Linked DNA regions of Rattus norvegicus. The protein of the gene in region 2 purifies or fractionates together with the protein of the main gene of each other region. This does not show direct contact. Links are inferred from orthologs where the notes say so. Each region holds a gene or a part of one and is shown on either strand. Other genes may lie near its edges.

What was found.
Region 1: the proteins of Map3k4 (region 2) and Gadd45a purify together in Homo sapiens (co-immunoprecipitation; 3 studies listed by BioGRID and IntAct, with this or other methods). This does not show direct contact. The link is inferred for Rattus norvegicus from reciprocal best matches to the Homo sapiens genes MAP3K4 and GADD45A.
Region 3: the proteins of Map3k4 (region 2) and Gadd45b purify together in Homo sapiens (co-immunoprecipitation; 3 studies listed by BioGRID and IntAct, counting the BioPlex papers as one, with this or other methods). This does not show direct contact. The link is inferred for Rattus norvegicus from reciprocal best matches to the Homo sapiens genes MAP3K4 and GADD45B.

Annotation. Positions count from the first base shown.
Region 1 is NC_086022.1:97,481,653-97,489,682, reverse strand, and holds Gadd45a (growth arrest and DNA damage-inducible protein GADD45 alpha), read left to right. Parts: upstream 1-2,883; 5' UTR 2,884-3,033; coding exon 3,034-3,077; intron 3,078-3,166; coding exon 3,167-3,268; intron 3,269-3,353; exon of another isoform or gene 3,354-3,372; coding exon 3,373-3,610; intron 3,611-4,507; coding exon 4,508-4,621; 3' UTR 4,622-5,186; downstream 5,187-8,030. UniProt on the Homo sapiens protein: In T-cells, functions as a regulator of p38 MAPKs by inhibiting p88 phosphorylation and activity.
Region 2 is NC_086019.1:51,060,703-51,068,183, forward strand, and holds the end of Map3k4 (mitogen-activated protein kinase kinase kinase 4), read left to right. Parts: intron 1-10; coding exon 11-133; intron 134-520; coding exon 521-627; intron 628-4,494; coding exon 4,495-4,674; intron 4,675-5,906; coding exon 5,907-5,927; 3' UTR 5,928-6,415; downstream 6,416-7,481. UniProt on the Homo sapiens protein: Component of a protein kinase signal transduction cascade. Activates the CSBP2, P38 and JNK MAPK pathways, but not the ERK pathway. Specifically phosphorylates and activates MAP2K4 and MAP2K6.
Region 3 is NC_086025.1:9,425,848-9,433,552, reverse strand, and holds Gadd45b (growth arrest and DNA damage-inducible protein GADD45 beta), read left to right. Parts: upstream 1-2,834; 5' UTR 2,835-3,066; coding exon 3,067-3,110; intron 3,111-3,198; coding exon 3,199-3,300; intron 3,301-3,724; coding exon 3,725-3,947; coding exon of another isoform or gene 3,948-4,151; exon of another isoform or gene 4,152-4,189; coding exon 4,190-4,303; 3' UTR 4,304-4,864; downstream 4,865-7,705.

The DNA.
Region 1 (8,030 bases), on a different chromosome or scaffold from region 2:
GCCTTGCTTGCAAGTCTATTCCTTCACTGCCATTAGAGCCTACTTCATTGGGATTTCAGCACATACAGAAGACCAGCTGAGACATCTGGCCTCATGGGCTGAACAACTTCTAGATTCTTGGACTTTGTTCATAGCCAGCCATTGTTGGATTAGTTGGACTGTAGACTGCATGTAAGTCAACTAAATCCCCTTCATATGTGTGTGCGTGTGTGTGTGTGTGTGTGTGTGTGTGTGTGTGTGTGTGTGTGTATTCATTGTATATGTTCCACTAGTCTAAGGAACCTTGACTAATACAATGGATATACCAATTAGATCACGAGGTTTTTGTAGAGAAAGGACAAGAAATTGTTTAGGGCTTGTATTTTTTTTTTTTTTTGAAGTGATGTCAAAGGTGAGTTTTCTGAGAATTCATGCATAGGACTGTAGGATCACGAGGTGCTGATTAATTCTCAGATTATTTTCAACTCATGACACCCACTGTACTACTGAATGTAGGACTTGTTGAGGACACCAAGCTGATGAAGTCATAGTCTTTGCTGTCACATGATCCTCTAAATCTTTGTCAGCTTGCATCCTTCCAGAGAACTTCTAAGAAATGTCTAATGGGTAGAATCCCAGAGTTCTAGGGAACACAGTTTATTAGTCTTCAAATGATGACTTGGATCAGTTTGTGTAATGTTGGTTTTATGAAGCTGAAAATGTTTAAGTGACAGTTACCTGTCTTGCTCCTGGAACAAAATACCTGGTGGAAGCAACTTAAGAAAGGAAGGGTTTATTCCTCGGTACTCCATCATGGGAAGGCTTGACAGTCAGAGCTGGAAGTGGCTGGTCACATGGCGTCCTCAGTCAGGAATGAACCAAAATGCCCATGCTTAGCTAGTTTGCCTTTTCACATGCAGTGAAGACTCCAAGCCCATGGAATGGTTTTATCCATCATAGTGGGTCTTCCCATCTTAGCTAACCTAATCTAGATGGTCCATTACACAATGTCCAGAGGCTTGTTTTAGTGATAATTCTAAATACCCACAATCGAAGCCTAACGAAATATTGAAATTTCGTCCCTGTTGCTGTTTTGCAGCAGATCAAATCCTGGGCCTGAGCCTGGAACATGCTAGGCAACTGCTCTGCCATTGAGGAAGAATCCCAGGCCCAATCCCAATGTTGGGGAATAAATATTCATATTCATTCTCTCTCTCTCTCTCTCTCTCTCTCTCTCTCTCTCTCTCTCTCTCTCTCTCTCTCTCTCTCTCTCTGAGTGCTCTAACTGCATGTATGCTTGCATGCCAGAAGGGGGCATTCGATGCCATTATAGATGGTTGTGAGTCACATTGTAGTTGCTGGGAATTGAACTCAGGACCTAAGGAAGGACAGCCAGTGTGCTTAATCACTGAGTCATCTCCCCTGCCCTGAGGAATTCCTTAACAAGCATAGCTCATGTAAAGATTTAAGGCATAAGTATGAGGTACACAAGCATGCTGACGCTTGTTCCTTTACTCAGATATTGTCTCTTGGGGACATAGCACTTAGGGATTAAAAGGAAAGTTGTCTCCAATAAGTGAACTAGAAAAATCAACCTATCAATTTTCCATTAAGATTAAGAGAATTGGAAAATATTTTGTCCACAAGAATAAACACTTAAGGATGCAAAAGTCACATGTACTTCTGCAAAATTTACCTCTCTAACTGCCCAGTGACCTCAATATAAGCACTGTTAGGAATGCAAACCATTTCACCATTTCACCATTTCACCACTCTTGGTGACTAGTAGGTTCAGGCAATGTTTTCGTATTTATTGAATAAGCTCACAAAAAAAGGGGGTTTTGAACTATGCAGTAAAAGTTTACATTAAAAATTGTTTTTAATTTGTAACTCCTGCTTACAGTTATAAAGGTTTGCCTTCTACCTACAAGTTGCTATGTCTCAAAGGTGAAATTTTAGCACATGGCTAAAATGAACTATAGTTACAGCTTCATGATTCAGAGTGAGATCATAGGCAACAGAAGGCAGTGTCATACTCTGTGATGGGAAGTCTAGGGGGCATCATGAGCATCTCGAATTTAGACTGTGGTTACTCTGAATATCACAGAATTTGTCTCTTAGCTCTTACTTGATTAGAAGGAGCCTTCTTCAGGAAAGGTTTTAAGAACGGTGAGCTTGGCTCGTTAGACATGTGATCACCAGCTTACAAGGAGTGGGGCAGAAATTTCACCAGCTTTTTGTGGAAAAGATTCCAACTCGGTACTGTGCCATCACTACACACAAATGTGCTTTTTTTTTCCTCCCTGGAGTTTCAAATTCTCACAACCAACCAAAACCAAATCAAACCAGCCATCAGGGCACCAAAAGAATACTACTGGGAATAAGCAGCTTAACCTGTAACTTGCATATAAACACTCTGAAGCAAGCTTTGCCTGGTACGTCTGAACACTTAAAAATATGCTTACTAATAACAACTAGACTAGAGTGCATTAACCCCTGGAAATAAATTTTAAAAAGCAGTCCCTTAACACAAAAGAACACGAAACGACAATCAAAAGATGTCCACAACCAGAGAAACAATTGGCAGGCTGTTTCAGTCAGAGCTGAGGACACTTGAACCACTCCAAAAGCCCTCTGCACCAGATGGCTTCACAAACTGTCTAGAGCTGGCTCCGGACCCCACCAACCGGCTTTCTGCACCACCTTCGTGCCAGGGGCTCCCTCCCGCATAGCTCCGCCCCCTTCCGCTCAACTCTGCCTAGCTTGGTGGAGCTAGCGTCAGAGTGTCAAAGTCTGCTAATTTGCATGACCCAATGACCTGGCTGCATGTAAATGAGGCTAGCCGTGGTTGGCTGAGGGCTAGCCCCATATCTCCGGATCGGACCCTTTGTCCTCCAGTGGCCCCGAGGCAGCTGTGCAGTGTTCCCCAGCGAGGCTAAGCAAGAAGCCGGCGAGAGCAGAGACGCGAGGGTGGGAGCCAGCGCAGAGCCGGCGCCGGGCACTGTGGGGGCCAGGAGCAGCCCGCGCGCCGCGTGAGGGACTCGCACTTGCAATATGACTTTGGAGGAATTCTCGGCCGCAGAGCAGAAGATCGAAAGGTAAGTGTGCCTGCGGACTCGGTGGCCGCCACCCCTACGGCTTCGCGGCCCGGAACCCTACTGACCCGCTCTCGCCCTGCGATCTGCAGGATGGACACGGTGGGCGATGCCCTGGAGGAAGTGCTCAGCAAGGCTCGGAGTCAGCGCACCATAACTGTCGGCGTGTACGAGGCAGCCAAGCTGCTCAACGTGTAAGTGGCCCCGGCCACCCGCGCCCCCCGCCTCCCGCTTACCCACCCGCTTCTACCCCGCGCTCCCCGGAGCTTGTACACTCACCGTTGCCCACTGTCTGTAGAGACCCGGACAACGTGGTCCTGTGCCTGCTGGCTGCGGATGAAGATGACGACCGGGACGTGGCTCTGCAGATCCATTTCACCCTCATTCGTGCTTTCTGTTGCGAGAACGACATCAACATCCTGCGGGTCAGCAACCCGGGTCGGCTGGCAGAGCTGTTGCTACTGGAGAACGACAAGAGCCCCGCTGAGAGCGGGGGCGCTGCGCAGACCCCGGACTTACACTGTGTGCTGGTGACGGTAAGAGACCAGGGGCTGCAGCTCAGAATCTGCTGGGGTGGACCTTGTCCGAGCTGGACGCTGATCTCGCGGGGGTTCTGATACTGTGAGGAGCGTGTCTAAGCTCATGGGTGGCCTCCAGCGGCGGATGATATCAGTGAGTCAGCAGGCTACCCAGCTACCCCTGCCTACCTCTGCACTAGCTCGTGTGACTAATTCTTTGAGCAGAACAGATTAGATAAAGCCACATTAAGTTCCCGGTTCACCCTTCGTTAAGAAGTCAGCTTCATTCTTCATTTGCTGTCAAAGCTAAAGATAGAAGTCGTGTAGGAGACAGACCTTATTAACTCCCTGGATATAGATACTCTGTGAAGTGTACGGAGTGGAATTCTTTTCTTTGCTGCTCTTGAGTTTGTTTAAACGAGCCCTCTCCACCCTCCTCCCCACCGCTTAAAAATGTGTGGTGGGTGGATAGTGTTTTCAGAAAGAAATGTGCTGCTGTCTCGGTCTTCTGGTTTTTTGTTTTTGTACTCTTTTGACTTGTGTAGGGAAGTGGTAGCCTGATTATTTGTGCTGCCAGTGAAAAGTGCTATTCATTGTCAGGAAAGATAAAAGAGTTCAGCTGCCCTCCCTGCAGCTCTCACGGTGCACACAGCCTGAGAATGTTTTTCAGAAGTATTTTACTTATGACTCCACCAGGGTACGTGCTTGGAAGGGCAGTCTTGAGAATGATAACTTCATGAAGAGTGGGGTAGTTAATATGCAAAACTGTGTGGCTCAGTGTGCATTACAGGTGTTTAGACTTGGCCAAACGCTGTTTGGCAGAATGTTTGGGGTTTGGCCCTTTCAAAAGTAGTACAGCTAGTAGCATACGCTGATCATATTATGGGGAAGTAATTTTTCTAAATCTGTTCTCAGAACCCACATTCATCACAATGGAAGGATCCTGCCTTAAGTCAACTTATTTGTTTTTGCCGGGAAAGTCGCTACATGGATCAGTGGGTGCCAGTGATTAATCTCCCCGAACGGTGATTCCCCGAACGGTGATGGCATCTGAATGGAAATAACTGAACCAAATTGCACTGAAGTTTTGAAATACCTTTGTAGTTACTCAAGCAGTCACTCCCCACGCTGATGCAAGGATTACAGAAACTGATGTCAAGGGGCTGAGTTCAACTACAGGAGGGCTAGGAGATGACTTTGCAGAAGGAGAGAGAGGTGAGACTGAAGGAGGAAGCTGTGTGGAAACAGAAATCCAAGTCAAAAGGGACAAAAAAACTACAAAGAACTGTGCAAGAAAGAAAACTATTAATTTAGGATGGCCGGGTTACAGTAAAGTAAACCAAATATTGCTTTGTTGAAACTTTAAATGTGTAGCAATATTTTGGGTATTTTTTTTGGTCTTCATGCCCTCAAATAAAAGAAAAGTGAAAAGGGTTAATCATATTTTCAAGCCACAGTTTAATGTATTTTGATGAGATGTTAAATTCTCAGAAGTTTTATTATAAATCGTACTAAGTTATTTTATGATGTGAAAGGTTATTTATGATAAAACGTTTTTGAAGCACATTATCTAAAATAAACTGGTATGGAATAACTGTGTCGTTTCTCAATGTGTGGTATGTGTTTTCCAACATGGACTCTTATCAGACTTTGTATTGAAACTTTGCTTTAAAGCCACCAGGCAGAAAGATGGGTGATGGTAGAGGGTTTGGGTAAGGGCAAAGGGAATATGGAGAAAGAGTCACCTTGCAAAGTCTGAATTACAATGAATTATTAAAATGCTATAATTAATTGCATGCAAAACATAGAAGCAGAGAGGAGGGTTACCAAAGCTGCTTGAAGATAAGTGAAGCTTTTACTGAGGGGAAAAAAATCATCTTATTGGAGGCTTAAGAAATGAGCTTAGTTTCTCTAGGTAGAGACAGGGAAAGGGTATTGCTAACAGCTACAAAAGTTTGTGCAATGGTGCAGGCATGAAAGATCAGAGCCCGCAGAGAGACCTGCAAGGGTGACGCTGCGTGCCTCTGGTGTAGGGAGATAAGTGAGAGAGAGGGTTGGAAAGGTGGGGGTTCGACTCAGATGCTGACAGGAGTTCTTACATCACCATTATGTATTCGAGCTTCCTTCTGTGAACTTGCCACAGTCTGCAGAAGGAAGTGACATGGTCAGTGTTGTAGGTAGATAACATGGGAGGTAAGGGGTAGTTAATAGGGTGAATAGCTGTAGTTCCCAGTGTAAGGTAGTGAGAATGTTTTGTAGAACCATGACAAAGGGCAGGTTTCTCATGTTCTTAGCCTCTTCCCAGGGCACTATAGCTTCAGCCGAGCATTTCCACGACTGCTGCAAGGGGTCTGGATATATTAGGGAAGAAGTGTCAGAGAATAAGGAAAAAAAGACTTCAGTAGAAGAAGCCTTTGTACTGTCTGGTCAGTAGCAGGCCCATGTAGGCAGAGCCAGGGAACCCAAAGGGACATGCTGGAGAAAAAGGCCTGCAGAGCTGTAGTCTCCACTGTTTGCAGCTCCCCCCTCCCCACCCCCACCCTCTCTCTGGAGCTCCTTGGGCCCCTGTGTTTGTCAGCCTTCTTGTGACCAGCAGGGAGGGCAGAAGAAAACATACCCTTAAGCTTCTGCGCATCTTGTATGGCCTTCTTTTGTTTCTACTCTTAGGAATGTGGATTTCTAGGCCTTATTTAGTCTTCTTTTGCTTTAAGCCAAGGTGTAATCCCAAACAACTGGAGTAACAACATTTACTTTTTATATTAGCAGGAGATTTGAGAGCCATGCCTTTCAGGCAAGACCTTTAGCCTTCCCGCTAGAGGCTCGTCCGATCTGTTTCTACAACTGTTGCAGTTCATGAAATAAGTCAAACCAAGTAGGAGAAAAGCAAGTGGAGAAAAGCAAGTGGAGAAAAGCAGCTGTTTGCTGGAAAGAGCATGGGTGGCAGCCATGCCTCCCTCCATCAGGCCTCTCTGCCCTGATTCACTCAGGTGTAAAAGTGAAGAACACACTACCCAGCCCACAGCGTTGCCTTTTATAGCTTTGTCATCTCGTCATCTGGAAGGATGAGCTAATACCGGGTCGTAGATGTCTGCATACATTAGGTGATGAGTCAGTATTGGTTAAATAAGTGGAATAAGTAGAAATCATCATAAATCCAAGGCTGCAGCTTTAGTGAGAGAGCCTGTATGAGATCCTGCAGTGTCCCTGGCCCTGGGAAAAGTAATTACTACCTGGTACGTGGTATTTGCTCAGATCATAGCAACAGGAAAATATTGAAAGCCTCACAGAGATTCGTTACTTACCATACATATTATTAAAAAGGAGTTTGAGTCACTTAAGTCCCAGTGCTTAGTGATAAGAAATAGCAGGATCCAGCCTTAAGGTTGATCCGTTTCTGACAGGCTCAGCAATAAGTGCAGTTAGGTATTCTTTTGATTTTTGTTTTGTTGTTCCTTTATGAAGTAACTTAAACTTGGGTTGAAAAGAAATTCTGAACCATTGGTTCAGTAGGGCGCTTGCCACCCAAGCCTGACAGCCTGAGTTTGATCTCTGAAACCTAAAGGAGAAGAGACTTGATTTCTCAGACTCGTCTTTTGACCACATGAGTGCAGGACATGTGCACATCCACCTGTCCACACGCACACACACGCAGACACACATGCACGTACACACGCACATCATGCACTACATTAATAAAATTCAAAAGAAGATAAATCTATAAGTATAAGTAAAGTATGCCTCTAACTTATGCTAATATTTAGTTAATTGCTTTAGAAATTAGTAAACAAGGTTGGGGCAGGAGGACTAGTTTGAGTTTAAGGCCACTGGGCTACCTCGTTCCAACCCACCCTGGTATCTTCATTAAAAACACAAAAGCAAACGACTGGCTTCTTTACATTCAACAAGAACAAAAACTTGACACACCTGCCTGAGATGTGTTGTTCACTGAAAAGTGGGAAATCCCTAGTTTCCCACAGGTGACTTCACAAATTCAATGTGGCGTCTGCTGTGTCTGGTGAGACAGGGTCTTCAGTAAGTTAACGCTTTGTAATGAAAAGAGTCCAGGAAAGCAACCTTTTACAATAAACTATTTCCTAAGCTAAAAGAAATGGTGCTATTTGCAGGAAAGAGCTTATAACTAGAAACTTATAGAGTGTGCTTTATGACCTTACTATAACCTTCGACCTTAAAAAATTATATATGGGGAAAGGTCTGTTTTCTTTGAGAACAAAGCTCAATGGTACTGACACAACACCAAGCCAGGGTCCCTCAAACTAGAAGCTGAATTTTTCTTTTCTTTTAGACAATGCTCATACAAACATAAGGACATTGAAAGTGTTGTACACATGAAACGACCAAGAGCTATTTAATGAGTGTTTACTATGGTCATTAGATGAGGCTGAAAAAGATACTTGGGCCTCAGGGAGCTCACAGTCCA
Region 2 (7,481 bases):
TTCTGTTTAGGTGCCAATATCTTCCTTACATCGTCTGGACTAATCAAACTGGGAGATTTTGGATGCTCAGTGAAACTTAAAAACAATGCTCAGACCATGCCTGGCGAGGTGAACAGCACCCTAGGGACAGCAGGTAAGGGCTAGTCCAGCTGGCTCTGAGCTCTGACTTGAGGAAGGCCCCTTGCCCTCTCGGAAGGAGCTTAGCATTGGTGGGATTGAAACTGCTGTTAAATCACCAGTTACATGGCATCTACTTGTTGGGTTCTTGAGTGTTAGGTTAAATTCCCTGTTTCCATTGAGAATACAATTTACTGGAAATTTTCACACTCAAGAGTTGCTTTTTAAAATGAAATCCTGTCCCTAAAATATCCCTCAAGTTGACTTGAAAGTGAAAGCTTTCAACATTTGCCGCCTGTACTTGGGTGAAGGCCATTGCCGAGGGTTATTAACATAGTGCTTGGTGCTGTTGATACGTGGTTCTGTGTTGGTAACCCTTGCTATTCCATATCCGACTGTAAAGCTTACATGGCCCCTGAAGTTATTACCCGAGCTAAAGGAGAAGGCCACGGACGTGCGGCAGACATCTGGAGTCTGGGGTGCGTCGTCATAGAGATGGTGACTGGCAAGGTAAGCTCCCTGTGCACCAGAAGGAAGACTCCATACAGGTCACCCACAGAACTGAGGCTTTATCGTAAGTGCTGTGGACACCTTCCTACTTGAGCTCATGACCAGAGAGTCAATGGATCCCATGAAAAGGCTCAGAAAGGTGTTGCATGTAATAACCAATCCATACTGTTGCTAGCTAGGCACCAGCCGGTGGTCTCAGACTGCTCCTAGCCCTGTACATAGCCCGAGATCCAGACCCAATGATTCCTCTTGCCAAGGCCTCTCCCACCAACGCTGGCTCTGCCTCTCCAGAGCTCCGAGGTAGTGTCTTGGTCCCGTGGGCAGCTGTGGGTATGCTCTCGCCAGCCCACGCTCCACTCACTACCTTTCCCCTGGAGCTCAGTCCTGTCCCAATCTTCCCATCCCAAAGCCTGGCTGAATTCCCCCTAGGCTAAGTTCTGTCCCTCTATCCCACCCGAGTCACCAGAGAATGGAAAACACCAGACAATCTTAGTTTAGAATCAGCAGATAACACAGTCGCTGGGCGCAGAATCTATCATCCTAAATTCATCAACTGTTCTATGTTAGAAATCTGCCACCAGATCTAACTGTCCCCAGCCTACATCCTGTCTGCTTTGCTCCCGCCTCTCCATCCAAAATCAAGTGCCTTCCTCCTGCATTCCCTCTTCCTCTTTTGGACCCGAAAGGCCCGCCTCCTCCTCCTCGAACAGTAATTGACTTCTTATCATCTTTATTATTCAGTTAATTAGGGAAGAATTCCACTACAGAAAGGTTCGGAGAAATAACAAACTGAGAAGCACCTGTCCATAGGGTACACATAGGGCCCCAGAGAGCTCCTAGGAGTGAATTTGTGTTTCAGCTTTGAGGTTAAGCAGAGAAACACAAACCTGCTTGTGTCAACAAATGGAGAAAAGACAGTCTATTTGACTGATGCCAATGTGTGGACGATCTTTATCCCACACTCTGGACACCTCCAAATGGATCAGATTCCTTTATCAAAGACTGTAAATTCTGAAACTGGGCAAGGTTTGACAAAGTTGAGGGCTATTTAGGACTTCCTGGTTAGGACTCCAGTTGTTCCGGAAATAAGGCTGGCAGCTAACAGGTGGGGCCTTGTGAGATCAAAGTGCTCTGTGCAGGTTATGGGGAGATGGCCAGTTGGAAAGGTGCCTCTTATGAAAGCATCAGATTCCTAGCATGCATGTTTAAAAAAATGCTGATAACAGAAGTATGTGTCTGCAAAGGCAAAGGCAGGAGGATGTGTAAAGCTCAGAGACAACCTGTATAGTCACATTGATGGCTCTAGGTTCATGGGAGACCCTGACAGGAAATGAATGTAAAGCAATGAGGGCTGACACATATGGCCTCTGATTGCCATGCACATTTAGCATATGTCTGTGAACTCAAACACACACACACACACACACACACACACACATGTGAACATGTATGTACACTCGATAGCCTCAGTACTACAAAGAAATAGTTAACCAAGTTAAGAGGTAGCACGTAGAATTGGACAACAGTCTTCCAGCTGCACATCTGACAGGATTAATATGAGAATATGCAAAGAACTCCTAAACAGCAAACAGACTAACCACAAAAGAGGCAAGGAGCAGAACAGAGTTCTCAGAAGGAGAAATATTTTAATGAGGGCTCAACATCCTTAGCCAACAAGGAAGTGCAAGTTAAAGCTATTCCGAGGCTCCTTCCGGCCAGTCAGAATGGCTGTGAAGAAAACCAAAGGTAGTGCATATGAATGAAGGTGTAAAGATGAGCCGTGTTCACTGTTGCGGGACCATGAACCTGCAGAGCCACCGTGGAGATCTGTGTGGCAGCTTCACAGGACGTTAGATCATCATATGACTCAGCTATGCTGTTCCGAGAACACGCTGAAAGGACCACATGTCCCACTAGAGACTAGGCCACCGTTGCTGCTTTATTCACGGCATCAACAAGTGGAATCGGCCGAAAGGACCACTCAGATACATGGGATAATGGAAACATAAACTATTACTCAGCCACACACAAAAGTGAAAGCATGCAGTCTGCAGGAAACTGAATGGACCTGGAGAATACGAGAAATACCACACGTTCTTTCTCATATGCAAATCCCAGCTCCTTAATTTTAATATACACGTATTTATGTGGGAGTGGCTGGAGGTAGAAAGCTAGACAGGATTCCAGGAGAGGAAGCTATCTATTTGAGGCTTTAAGAGTGAGGAGGGAGGAGAGTAAGCACATGCAATAGGAAAGCAGAAAAGAGAAGCCGGAGTTGCATAGGGAGATGGGGGAGAGGAAGAGGTGCCAGGCGTGTGCAGGTGCAAAAGGAAAGATGAAGTCCAAAGCTGTCATTGCACGAAACCTGCACATGAATGCCTAAACTTGAAGCAGTCAGGAGCCCTTCAGTAGATACAAGGATCAGCAAGCCACACCTCCCTGGAGGTCAGCTGGATGGGTTAACAGGACTAACAAACTGTGTGTTACTGTGAGTAGCAGACAAGGGATGCTACTCACTGGTGTGAAGAAACGGGCCTCACATCCTCAGAAAGATAGGATAAGAGAAGAGAGGTACTCGACATTCCCCACACCCACCAGGCTTACCACAAGAGTCCCTTACAAACCGCCGGAGGCAGAACTGTAGGGACACACCTCTGTTACCATGGCACTTGGGAGGCTGAGGTGCCTGGGCTACATGGCAAGGCCCTATTTCAGAATGAACAAAAGATAGTGGTTGCAGGGGTAGGAGGGAAAGGACTAAACAGTGAAAGAGATACTTGGGATGACAAGATTCTTCCTTATGTATCAGTAACTTTCTTACTGTGGTACCAAATGCCTTCAAAATACAGCTTAAGAGAGAAAGCGGTCATTTTGGCTCACGGTTTAAAGTCCATCCTGACTTTAAGGCATGGCAGGAGAGCAAGAACGTGAGGCAGCCAGTGACATCATACCAACAGTTACAAAGGAGAGGGGACAGGAAGTGGATCCCAGCTATAAAACCTCCAGACCTACCTAGTAGGTCTTGCCACACCTCCTAAAGAGTCCACAACCGTCCAGAACAGCGCCACCTGCTGGGGTCATATGTTCAGACACTTTGCCCATGGGGGACAGTTCACATCCAAAGAGCTGCAGATGATGGATTCCCATCACACCTGTGTCTACACCCACAGAATGTACGAGACAGAGAGTGAACCCTGATGGCATGTTTCATTAGCAGCAGAGCAGACAGTGATTCACCAATTGTAATTAATTATGGCTAACAGGAGAAAGTGGGGGACAAGACGTGTGAGGGTGCATGGAGACCCACTGCCCTCCAGTCAAGCTTTCTGTTACTGTAAACTGCACTAAAAAGGCAGACCTGATTATTAAAAAGAAACAGATGGCCATCCTCATCTTCTCCAGAACGGTACATTTAAAAGGGAAATGAATTTTTCCTTAGCACATGAATAACATTTATAAGATTTATGATATTCACTCTAAGAGAGGTATGAGAAAACAGTCATGCTTCAGACAAAAATTCACAGTGGGAGCTCACTCTGGAGAACTGCTTTCCATAGGATGAAACTTAAACATATGTCCCTAGACCACAGAAACCTTGCTTCTGGTGACAGTCCTGCTGACTGTGATTGCACAGTGTGTGCTACATTCAACAGTAGTTACACAGGGGTGTGTGTGTGCGCGTGCGCTGACTGAAGCTCTGACACTGTATGTATGCACTTCAAGACTGATGTGTTTCCTGTTTCTTCCTCCCGGCACGTGTTTCTTCCCCTGACAGGTGTCTTCTCAAGATACCTACAGAGGGATTGGACATTTGTCGCTGTGACCGTGTAATGCTGTAGCTTGTTTTATTTTTTCCCGTCTCTGCAGCGGCCTTGGCATGAGTTTGAACACAACTTTCAGATTATGTACAAGGTGGGAATGGGACACAAGCCACCAATCCCCGAAAGGTTAAGCCCTGAAGGAAAGGACTTTCTCTCGCACTGCCTGGAAAGTGACCCGAAGATAAGGTGGACAGCCAGCCAGCTCCTTGACCACGCTTTTGTCAAGGTTTGTGTAATTGCTGCAGTCGTCCTCGTCAGAGTTAAACACTTAAGCTTGACTTTGCATCAGGCACCAGACGTTAGTGTAAAATAGTTATATCTAAAAGGACAGGAACTGGATGTCTTCACGTATCAGAGATTTGCTTTCAGTTAGTAAAGACTCACTAAGACCTCTCTACATGATCTGTTGACAGGAGATGAGCCTAGTTCTTGCCCTCGAGAATGTGTGGTCATCTTGGACCTGTCACTGTGTCTTGAGCAGTGGTGACGCATGTGTGATGGGAGGCGGGGCTGAGGATCTAGGGCCCTATGGAGGCCCGAGGCAGTGCTTTCTCTATGAGAGGGTGTGACCAGGCAGAGAGGCAGACAAGGTGTCAGGCATGAGGGGCTGCTGCGGGCAGAGTCATTGTGGTACTTTGTGAGCCAAGGTCTGAGGGAGCACAAGAAAGCGGATGTGGTAGAAGGTAAGACTGGGGAAGATGTAGGAGCAGCAGAGGGTCTCGGTTAACAAACAGCATGGCTGGTGGCCCTGCCGAGATAGCGGGCTGACAGTGGCCTCCGGCCGTGCTGAGGGGTTGGAACGACCCTGGCTGAGGAGCAGGTTGGGGGTGTCTGGGGTGGCCCCACCTCCTGGCTCCTTGAGTCATCTGAAGGTCGCATCCACCACAGCAGAACCAAACGGCAGCAGGTTGAGACTGAGCATCGGTGGTCTCATTGGCAAGACCATTTAAAGATTTGTTCAGGATTTTAGGTGGGTGTCTTGTTGCTCAGGGCCGACAGTCAGATTGCCACAGTACAGCAGGCTGTAGTAGTGAGTGGGCACACAAGTGCAGCTGGGGCAGTGTTGCAGTGTTGGGAGGGGGATGAGAACACACAGATCATAGCTAAGGACCCTGCACGGGAGTCCCTGATACAGGGTGGGTGGGCGGAACCTGGGCTGGTGTGTAGGCTGGGTACAAGAGCTACTGGGGACAGGTGATGAAGGAACAGTGCTTCTTAGCTCTGAAGTAGATGAAATATATTGCCCTGAAGGAACTGTCCTATGTTCTGCCCAGCCTTCCCTGAGAGCAGACATGGAGTAGGTCTGTTTTCTAAGTCGTCCCTCACATGTCAGGGGCTGGTGCCAGGGGGGCACTAGGCCTTGCCTGTGGGCCAGAAGCCAAGCAGGCAAGACACACAGGCAGACACAGGACCGTGCTTGCACCAGCAGGGGCTCAGCGCTCTCTTGCTTCCTCGCAGGTTTGCACAGATGAAGAGTGAAGCTCTAGTCCGTGGCCTAGCAGTGTGTGGACAGAATCCCGTGGTCACTACTGTATGTAATATTTACATAAAGACTGCAGTGCAGGCGGCCTCTTAACCTTCCAAGACTGAAGACTACACGGTGACAAGCCTCACTCCTGCTGCTCCTGGTGTCTGCAATAGCACAGGACCCCCGAGTGACAGTGTTGACAAGGTTAAAGAAGCTGCATGTTAAGTGCCATTACTACTGTACACGGACCACCGCCTCTGTCTCCTCCGTTCCCCGTGTGACATCAGCATAGTGTTCTTGAGCTTCTGGGTTCAGAAGAAAATGTAGTGTTAATCAGGTGTCCAGGACCTTGTTTCCGCCTCCTGTTTGTTGGCTCTGACTGTGGCTCCGACTGTGGAGCCTCCTTGTTGGCAAGCTGCAGGTTTGTTATGCAAAGGTTCATAAGTGAAACTGAAGAAAAGGTTCTTTTTCAATAAATGGTTTATTTTAGGAAAGCTAAGTCAGCGTCTGTTACTGGCTCGGGGCTTAAGAGCAGGGCAGCATGCGGAGGTCTGCTGATCCCCTCCCTGCCTTGATTCTGCTCAGTAGAAACAGCACAGCCAAGCCTGCCCCAGTGGGACCCCGAGCCGGGTGTGTCCAACCTGCCGCCTGTGGGCCATGTGCATCACAGGATAGCTATGAGTGTGGCCCAAGGCATTTTCGGATGACAGCATATCCCAATGTTTAAGATTGGGCATACCTGATATAAGGTGGCCATGCTTGGCTCTTACTGTGCACAACAAGGTTGGGGCTCTGGTTGCTGGTGGGTATATGGGAGGGGAACAGTGCCATGCGATCTCTTGATAGGCGACCATCTTCTCAGAGCATAACCTGACTAAGCCGGTAGGACCCTGAAATAGCCGGCTGTTGTCAGTGATGGCGTTTGTCTTGGTTGTTGTTTAGTGCTCTTATTCCCTTATTCCCTAAGTCTCTTGGATCATGCACTTGCTCCTGGCACGTAGCAGCAGACCCTGGCCGGGTCATTGTCAAGGATTTTTGGTCTCTTCTGCCAAAAGAACACCGATTTGGATTCAGAGATGTTAGGACTTCATTTAAGATGCCCTTTTACAGCCTTTTAAGTTACTCTACATCACGTAAAGGGATTCACACTGTCCTTTTATCAGAGCTGTAGAGCTGTTACACAATGTAGTTCTAGAACCTTCCTACTGCCCGCAGTAGAATTTGTCCCACCTGTCTTGGTGCAGCCTGGGGTTTGCTCACTATGGGCGTTTAGAGAAGTTAGAAGTTAGAAGTTTCTGAGGCTGTCATGATGGAGCACAAGCCAGCACATCTTTATTTCCACTGTACGCAAGCGCCACGTGCTCTGTCCGACCCTGGCCTTGTTGGTGCGCACCAGGCTGCCCCCTGGTGGCCTATTTGCTTTGAACACAGGCATCTGCGTGGCTGTTTTTGTGCCTGTTAGGAGTTGGGTGTGCTGAGCTGTGTTTTCAGAAACTTTTGAGTTTTTTCCGAAGTGACTGCCATACCGTGTTCTTCCACTGTGAGGCGCCCGGGTCTCCCTGTCC
Region 3 (7,705 bases), on a different chromosome or scaffold from region 2:
TTTTTATGTGCACTGTGTTTTGTCTGCATGCATGTCTGTGTGAGGACATCAGTTCCCCTGAAATTGGAGTTGCAGATGGTTGTGAGCCGCCATGTGGGTGCTAGGAATTGAACCCTGGTCCTCTGGAAGAGCAGCCACTGTTCTCACCACTGAGCCATCTCTCTGCCCCTGCTGTTTGGGTTTTTGAGACAGGGTCTTACTGTGTAGCCCAGGCTGGCCTGAAACATACTCTGTAGCTCAGGCTGGACTGAAACTCAGAGATCTTCCTGCTTCTGCCTCCAGTGAGTAGGATTAACGGCGTGTGCCACCACACTGTGCCTTTTCTTTTTGTTTTTGTTATCTTTTTATTAAAAAAAATTATGTGGGGGCTGGAGAGATGGCTCAGCCATTTCTTAATTTCTTAAAGAGCACTGACTGCTCTTCCAGAGGTCCTGAGTTCAATTCCCAGCAACCACACGGCGGCTCACAGCCATCTGTAATGGGATCTGATACCCTCTTCTGGTGCGTCTGAAGACAGTGACAGTGTAGTCATACATATTAAATAAGTAAAATCTAAAAAAAAAAAAGTTCATGTATTCTGGTTTTGCCTGCAGCTGTCTGGATTCCTCAGAGGCTGGGAGAGGGCGTTGGGTCCCAGACTGGGTTACACTATCCTGACCCTGCCTGATGTGAGTCAGGAATTGAACCCTTATCCTCTGGAAGAGCAACCAGTGTTCTTAACGGATGAGACATCTTTCCACTTCCACCCCCAGGTTCCAAACAGGGTCTCATTTAGCTCAGGGTAGCCTCATACTCACTACGTAACCCTGGATGATCCTGACCTACTGACTGATCTTCCGGTCTCTTCCTTCCCAGTGCTGGGACGACAAGTGTGTGCCACCATATGGTTCGTGTGGTACAAGGATGGAAAGCAACGCCTCCCCCATGCTGGCTAAGCTTTCTGCCCACCGAGCCATTGCCACAGCCCAGCAGCCAACTTAATTATTAAACTATGCATCTAGTAAGTTTACTTGTGTGTGAGGACGACATACGCTTCGGAGCATCTACGGAGATTAGAAGACAGCTTGCAGGAGTCAGCTCGTATCTTCCGTCCTATGGGCTCCGAGGATTGCTTGCTGGCCAACTCTACCTGCGGAGCTGTCTTGCCCTTCATGTTTGGTATTTACAATATACTGTATGTATAGCGCATGTCAGGTTGCGCCACAGCGGTATGTAGAAATCGGTGATGAGCTTCCCGGCATCAAGAAGTCCTGGATTCATCACCAGCATCGCAAAATATTTAATTTAAAAGAAAAAAATCATTGCAGGTGTTCTCTCCCCTCCCTTTCCGGAAACTGCGTGAGCAGAGACCTCGTGGGACCGCCAGGTGTCGCCGCAGCGCCTCTCACGCCCGGGACATTTCGCACCTTGGGTGGGCGGCGCGGAGGATGCAGGATGCGTCACCAGACCCGGGATGGGGGATCCGGCGAATCGAGCCGCGCGGCTGAGGCCAGGACCCAGGCTGGCGGAGGAGGGGACTCAGGGTGATTCACCGGGAGCCCCCGTGCGCTGTGGGAGAATCCCACGCGGGGTCTGTCTGCCTCCCTCATGTCCTTGCCGTCCGCTACCAGCCCTCATACTGTGGCTCACAGAACGCCCTCGGAGACCTCAGTTTCCATTTTGCACAATGCAGATAGCCGGCCAAACCTTGGAAAGATAAATGACACTCATGGAAGAGGGGGCCTGTGGTTCATGCTGCGTACTACAAAAATGCCAGGGACATAAAAGGGGCTGCCGGGTTGGGGATTTAGCTCAGTGGTAGAGCGCTTACCTAGGAAGCGCAAGGCCCTGGGTTCGATCCCCAGCTCCGGAAAAAAAAAAAAAAAAAAAAAAAAAAAAAAAAAAAAGGGGGCTGCCTTTCAGCCACCACTCCCAGGGGGCAGCACCGGATCAGGTGTGGTGACGCGGTCTGAGGATAGACCGGGAGGCAGCCGGCAGGGGGCGGGGCCGCTCCGGAGAGCGTCTGGAAGGCTCTTCACCTGCGCCTCCCCGGCTCATCTGAAACTCGGGGTGCCAGGAGCGGGGAAAAGGGGTTCCGGATCTTTCCTCCTGGGATCCCTTAGTGCTCTGCAGCCAGGACCCCTGGGGCACCGCCAAACCACCTACCACGACCACTGGGAAGCTTCCTGTGTGCCTCTCCCGCGACCCCCGCCTGAGGGGGCTGAGCGTTCTCAGAGCACCTTTGTATGCGCTGGTGGGATGCCTTTGTAGTTCTCACTTTGGGGAGAGGATCCCACGGTCCTCAAACTTACCAAGTGTTTACTATATACCTTAGACTTATTTAAACACTCTCCAACTCTCCAAGGCCGAGCTGCAGACTTAGCCTCCTGGCCCATGCACATCCCTTCTTTTAGAGCTTGGGAAAGGCTAGGGACTCTCCGGGGACAGGGAGGGGATTCCAGACAGCTCTCCCCGAAAGTTCAAGCCAGCCTCTCGCGCTGGAAACCCCGCGCGCGGCCTGCGTAGCGCGGCTGCCGGGAAATCAGGAGAGAAACTTCTGTGTTTTTTTTTTTTTTTTTTTTTTTTTTTTTTGTCTGTGTGTGTGGTTTTTTTTTCCTCTCTCGATTCGCTGGCAGTCGCCGCTGCCTGGGTTCACGCTCCTCCCAGCCCTGACCCCCACGTGGGGCCGCCGGAGATCCGAGCTCCGCCCTTTCCTACCTCCAGCCAATCTCAGCGCAGGCTACTCGGCTCTTTGTGCCTCCACCAATGGATGGGCGGTGCATGCCTCCCCTGGCCACGCCCTCTCCCGGGCGGTCTTATAAGCGGCTTGCAGCGCCGGCGCGCTCACTCCGCGTCAACCCGGGATCCGTGTCACCTCCGTCTTCTTGGATTAATTTCGAGGGGGATTTTTTTGCAATCTTCTTTTTAATCCTGCTTTTTTCTTGGGAAAGTAAGTCCCACCGCCTCCGGAAAGCCTCGGACACTTCTGGTCGCGCGGGAAGGTTTTTACCTCTTGGGTTCGGATCTGGACGAGTGCTTTGCCTTGGGGATCTTCCGTGGGGGTCCGCTGTGAAGTGTGACTGAATCATGACCCTGGAAGAGCTGGTGGCGAGCGACAACGCGGTTCAGAAGTGAGTACAACGGAGACCGAGGTCTTCTCGCCCGCCGCCTGAGGTCTGCTGGGCTGTCATCGCCTAATCTCCCCATTTGGCCTTTTAGGATGCAGGCGGTGACTGCGGCGGTGGAGCAGCTGCTGGTGGCCGCGCAGCGTCAGGATCGCCTCACCGTGGGGGTGTACGAGGCGGCCAAACTGATGAATGTGTGAGTCAGCACCCCCTTTTCTCGGGCGTGGGTGGGGGCGCCCCTCTGATGCACGCGCGCTCCAACATCCCTCTAGGGCTCGGGGCTTTGGGGGACTTTCCCAGCGCTCCTGGGAGTTGGGGAGTGGAGGGCGACATTTCTCAGAGAATTTTTTGGGAGAGGGAAAGAGACTCGCTGCAGAACCCTGACTTTGCAAGTTTGAGGTTTTGTGTTTTTTGTTTTGACAAGCAATCCCAATAACTTTGGACTGCTTGCTTCCTTCCTCCCCGCCATCAGTATTTGCATAGTCGGCCACCCCGGCACCCTTGCACCCTGGGTCTTGCTCACCCCTCCCCCTGAGGTTCCCGGAGCTAATGCCCTCCTCCGTGCATGGCTACACCCGCTCCTGGTCTGGCGTCCCTCTGACACTCCTTCTTTCCTGCAGGGACCCCGACAGCGTGGTCTTGTGCCTGCTGGCCATAGACGAAGAAGAGGAGGATGATATTGCTCTGCAAATTCACTTCACCCTGATCCAATCGTTCTGCTGCGACAATGACATTGACATCGTCAGGGTATCAGGCATGCAAAGGCTGGCGCAGCTCCTGGGTGAGCCGGCAGAGACTCTAGGCACAAACGAGGCCCGAGACCTGCACTGCCTCCTGGTCACGGTGAGTGACCCACCCCGCCCTGATCACCTGGGTCCCGTGTTTGTCAACATAGCTGGGCTGGCTGCTCCAACACCAGCTCACTGCCCAGCCATGCTCGGCATGTCCCGTGGGCTGCCTCGTCACCCTGGCAGCTATTTTGAGCTAGCCTGTTTTTCTCTAATAGGGCTTCTGGAGCTGAACAGAGGCTCCCTACCGAACTCCTAGAGCTCCCACTAAACCCTTTCTTTTTCTCCCTCCAACAGAACTGTCATACAGATTCCTGGAAAAGCCAAGGCTTGGTGGAGGTGGCCAGTTACTGTGAAGAGAGCAGAGGCAATAACCAGTGGGTCCCCTATATCTCTCTGGAGGAACGCTGAGGCCCACTCTAAACACCTAAAGCAACTGTTGAGTTGCTGTCCCCTAAAAAAATTAAATAAAATACATATTTGACAGCGCCCCCTCATTCCCCAGAACAATCCCTCAAAAGCTACCCTACCCGTGATACCTTCCGGGAGGGGCGGAGTCACCGAGACTGAGACGAGGAGAGGGGAGTGTGCGCCCGCCCGCCCCCTGGGCTATGGAGCCAGGAGCCAGCACCACAGGTGGTCGCCAAGACAGGAAGGAGGGGACCTCAGGCTGGAGGAGACAGAGACTTTAGAGCCAAGGCCTGGCAATCATGCAGCCAGCCTCTGCACGCAGCAGCAGACGGTCTGGACACCGCCGCAGGGGTGGGGCGAGGCGTCCCCCACCCCGCTGGACAGTGAACTGTGCGTAACTCAGCGGAGGGCGGCGACCCTCGACGCGGGAGCCGGGACTCGAGCCCGGGACTTCGCAGCTAAGGCACATCTACTTTAGTATTGTGCTGAGCAAGACAGATCGCTTGCATATTTTTTAAAAATTTCTACTACAGAGACATTCCAATAAACTGGTTAAGCCTTCCTGTTCTCGTTGTTTTTCCCACTTGCCCACCGCCCCTTCTGGCTACCCTGTGTCGCGCCACCGGCCACCAAGCCGTGTTAGGAGCTCTGAGCTCCGCAGCTCCAGACGCTACTGCTGTCTGTTGTAGGCGCCACCACCCAACTCCAGCTTCATAGCAATTAAGACGCGGGTTTATTACGAAACCTGGCGGCCCATCCCCCACTGTTACCCACTGTGCTGAAGCTGGGGTCTGGGAACGCCGGGAAGATGGCTGCAATCTCCGTCACCACCCTACTGAGCGATCACCTCTCAAAGACCAGAGAGGTGCTGAGAACATCTGAAGTCGCTCAGCAGGGGCTTCTCGGGGAAGATTCCTGACCTCCCCTGGGGACGCACCCTAAGTTTCTTGTTCCTGGGATGGGCCCTGTGGATGCACAAAGGGAAAAGAATGCTTTTTCATTCTTTCCCCAAGCTTAAAATCAACAGTAGGAAACACCCTGGAAGCCTTGGCACTCGCCGCATCTCGCTCCAAAACAAAACCGTGCGGTCCTTCCCAGGGCTTCCCTTCCTCGCCAGCCTCAGTTTACCAGCGACCTTTCCACCAAACTCCTCGTGGGTGGAGAAAATCCCCGGGGTCGCCCTGGGAGTCACGCGCGGGGGGAGCCCCAAGGAGGGGAGTCCCCAGGGGCGGGGTGTAGGGTTTGGAGGAGGGGAAGGGTATCTGGGGTGCAGGGTGTGGGGGAGGGTAGGAGCTGGGCTGTCGCGTTTGCTAGAGCGCTAGCCATGGGGGCGGGGAGGAGCGAGTGAGGGGGATTAAAAGTTTTGCCACACTCGTCTTTGAGTGAGACCCAGGGACGAGGGTCACCTTGGGGGTCGCCCAGAGGCATTAGGATGCGGAAATGAACAGGTTAGAGCGGGAAGGAGTGAGAGGTGGGCAGGGGTAGGCTGGAGGGCACAGAAAGGATATGGGGTGTCGAGGTGTGGACTATTGAGAGGAGACTAAGCCTCGGGCTCCCAGTCTCGGCCTGCAGGCAATGGCCCCAGGCAGGTCCATGCTAGTTCTTCCCTTAGGGCTTGTAACCTGCGGTCCCTTTTCGGACCTGGTGGCCTCCTTGAACAAACAAGAGACCTAACACTTTTTTTTTTTTTTTTTTTTTGCCTTGTCTCAGTTTCTCCCTCGGTTAAATGTCCTCCATTCCAAAGTTCTGAAGTTTTCCTGGCAGAAATCGCCTTGAATACCTGGTTCGCTGACTCAGCCATACCAGCCTAGCGTCTGCCTTCCACACTCAAAACTGCCCCAGCCTCATTTTCCCCCAGAAAAAGATACTGGCGCTCAGAGCTTAGTTTGCAGTCTGGAATTATGGGTGGGGGAGGGGGAAAACTCTAGCCGGCTGAGGAGAGACTCCATCCAGTCAGCAGGGAGAAGCTGTCCCAGGTCATCGAGCTTCGGTCCTGTCCTGGACTGCTGCTCCCCTTAGGGACATCATCCTGTGCCAGGAAACGTGGGTGTGTTATTGGACGTTAAGCAGGAAAAACTTGGCAATGCGGATTTCAGGCAGATGGGCGTGGCGCGCACGCACGCTCACGCATGCACACGCAGTCCCCCAGCACTTGGTTGTAGGAACACCAGCCCCTGCACTGAGCTACTTCCGGGTTTTACTCCTGTTCCTCTTGGCCGAGTTGCTCAACTTCTCTGAGCTGGCTCTCTGTGACACACGCAGCCCATATGAGCACCGGCTTGTACAAACAGGTATATGTTCACGCAGGCCGGTATCCCCTGGAATACAATACGACCTTCTTACAGATCCATGGCGGTCGAGGGACACTCTGCCTCAGTAGCGCCCGAGCTTCTGAGCCTCGCTTGCCAGGCACAGATGGTGAAGGTCCTGTGAACCTGTTCAGCTATACTAAGGGACCAGGCTGGGACAAGAGCAGGACAGATGAAGTATGCAGAGACGCTGGGGGAAATCATGAGATAGTTGGAATATTTCATTTCACATGGTTTGCAGGATGAGGATATGAGATGGCAGTGGTGCTAGGGGTTGGAAGGAAAAGAATTTAAGGCCTGAAAATGATCTTCTTGGGTGGGAGCTCCACTCTGACCACACCCCCAGCCCCTCATTGGGGGAGTCTAGGCAGACCACGCCCCAGCCCCCTCACTGGGGGGTTTAGGAGGGGCTCCACCCTGACCACGTCCCCAGCCCCCTCACTGGGGGATTCTAGGCTGGGTTTCCTCCCTGACCACGCCCCCAGCCCCCTCACTGGGGGATTTCTAGGCGGGGCTCCACCCTGACCACGCCCCAAGCCCCCTCACTGGGGCATTCTAGTCGGGGCTCCGCCACTGACCACGAACTCAGTCCATTTCCATTATTCTACTTTAATTCACTGACTGTTAAGGACATCCCCAGAATGTGGACACCATGATTAGTGTCCCTACTTCATAGAGAAACAATCCAAGGAGGTGGAGCCACCTGCCAGAGGTCCCATGACTGGTGACTGGTCACCTCTACAGGACAGGGTTCCCTAAACTGAGTGGTGTCACAAGACTTGGCTAGGACATAACATGCTGCAGGCTAACGTGAGTCCCTGAGGGACAAAACAATCTGTCCAGACGCTGGGACACAGAAAGTCACCTATGCGTCAAACTCTCCTTTGATGTGACTTAATTCTTTGTGTCACCTGCATTTATGTAGCTCTGACTGTAGGCCAGGCCTTTCCTGCTCCTCTGGGAACATACAGCTAACACGGAGAGCTCAAGAAGCAATGGGATTGGCGATGCGGAGCTGAGTAGGAGAACGATGGAGCTAGAAAGGGGGTGGGCCTTGGCCAAGGGCTTCTGGGTGCCAGTATCTATGCCAGTA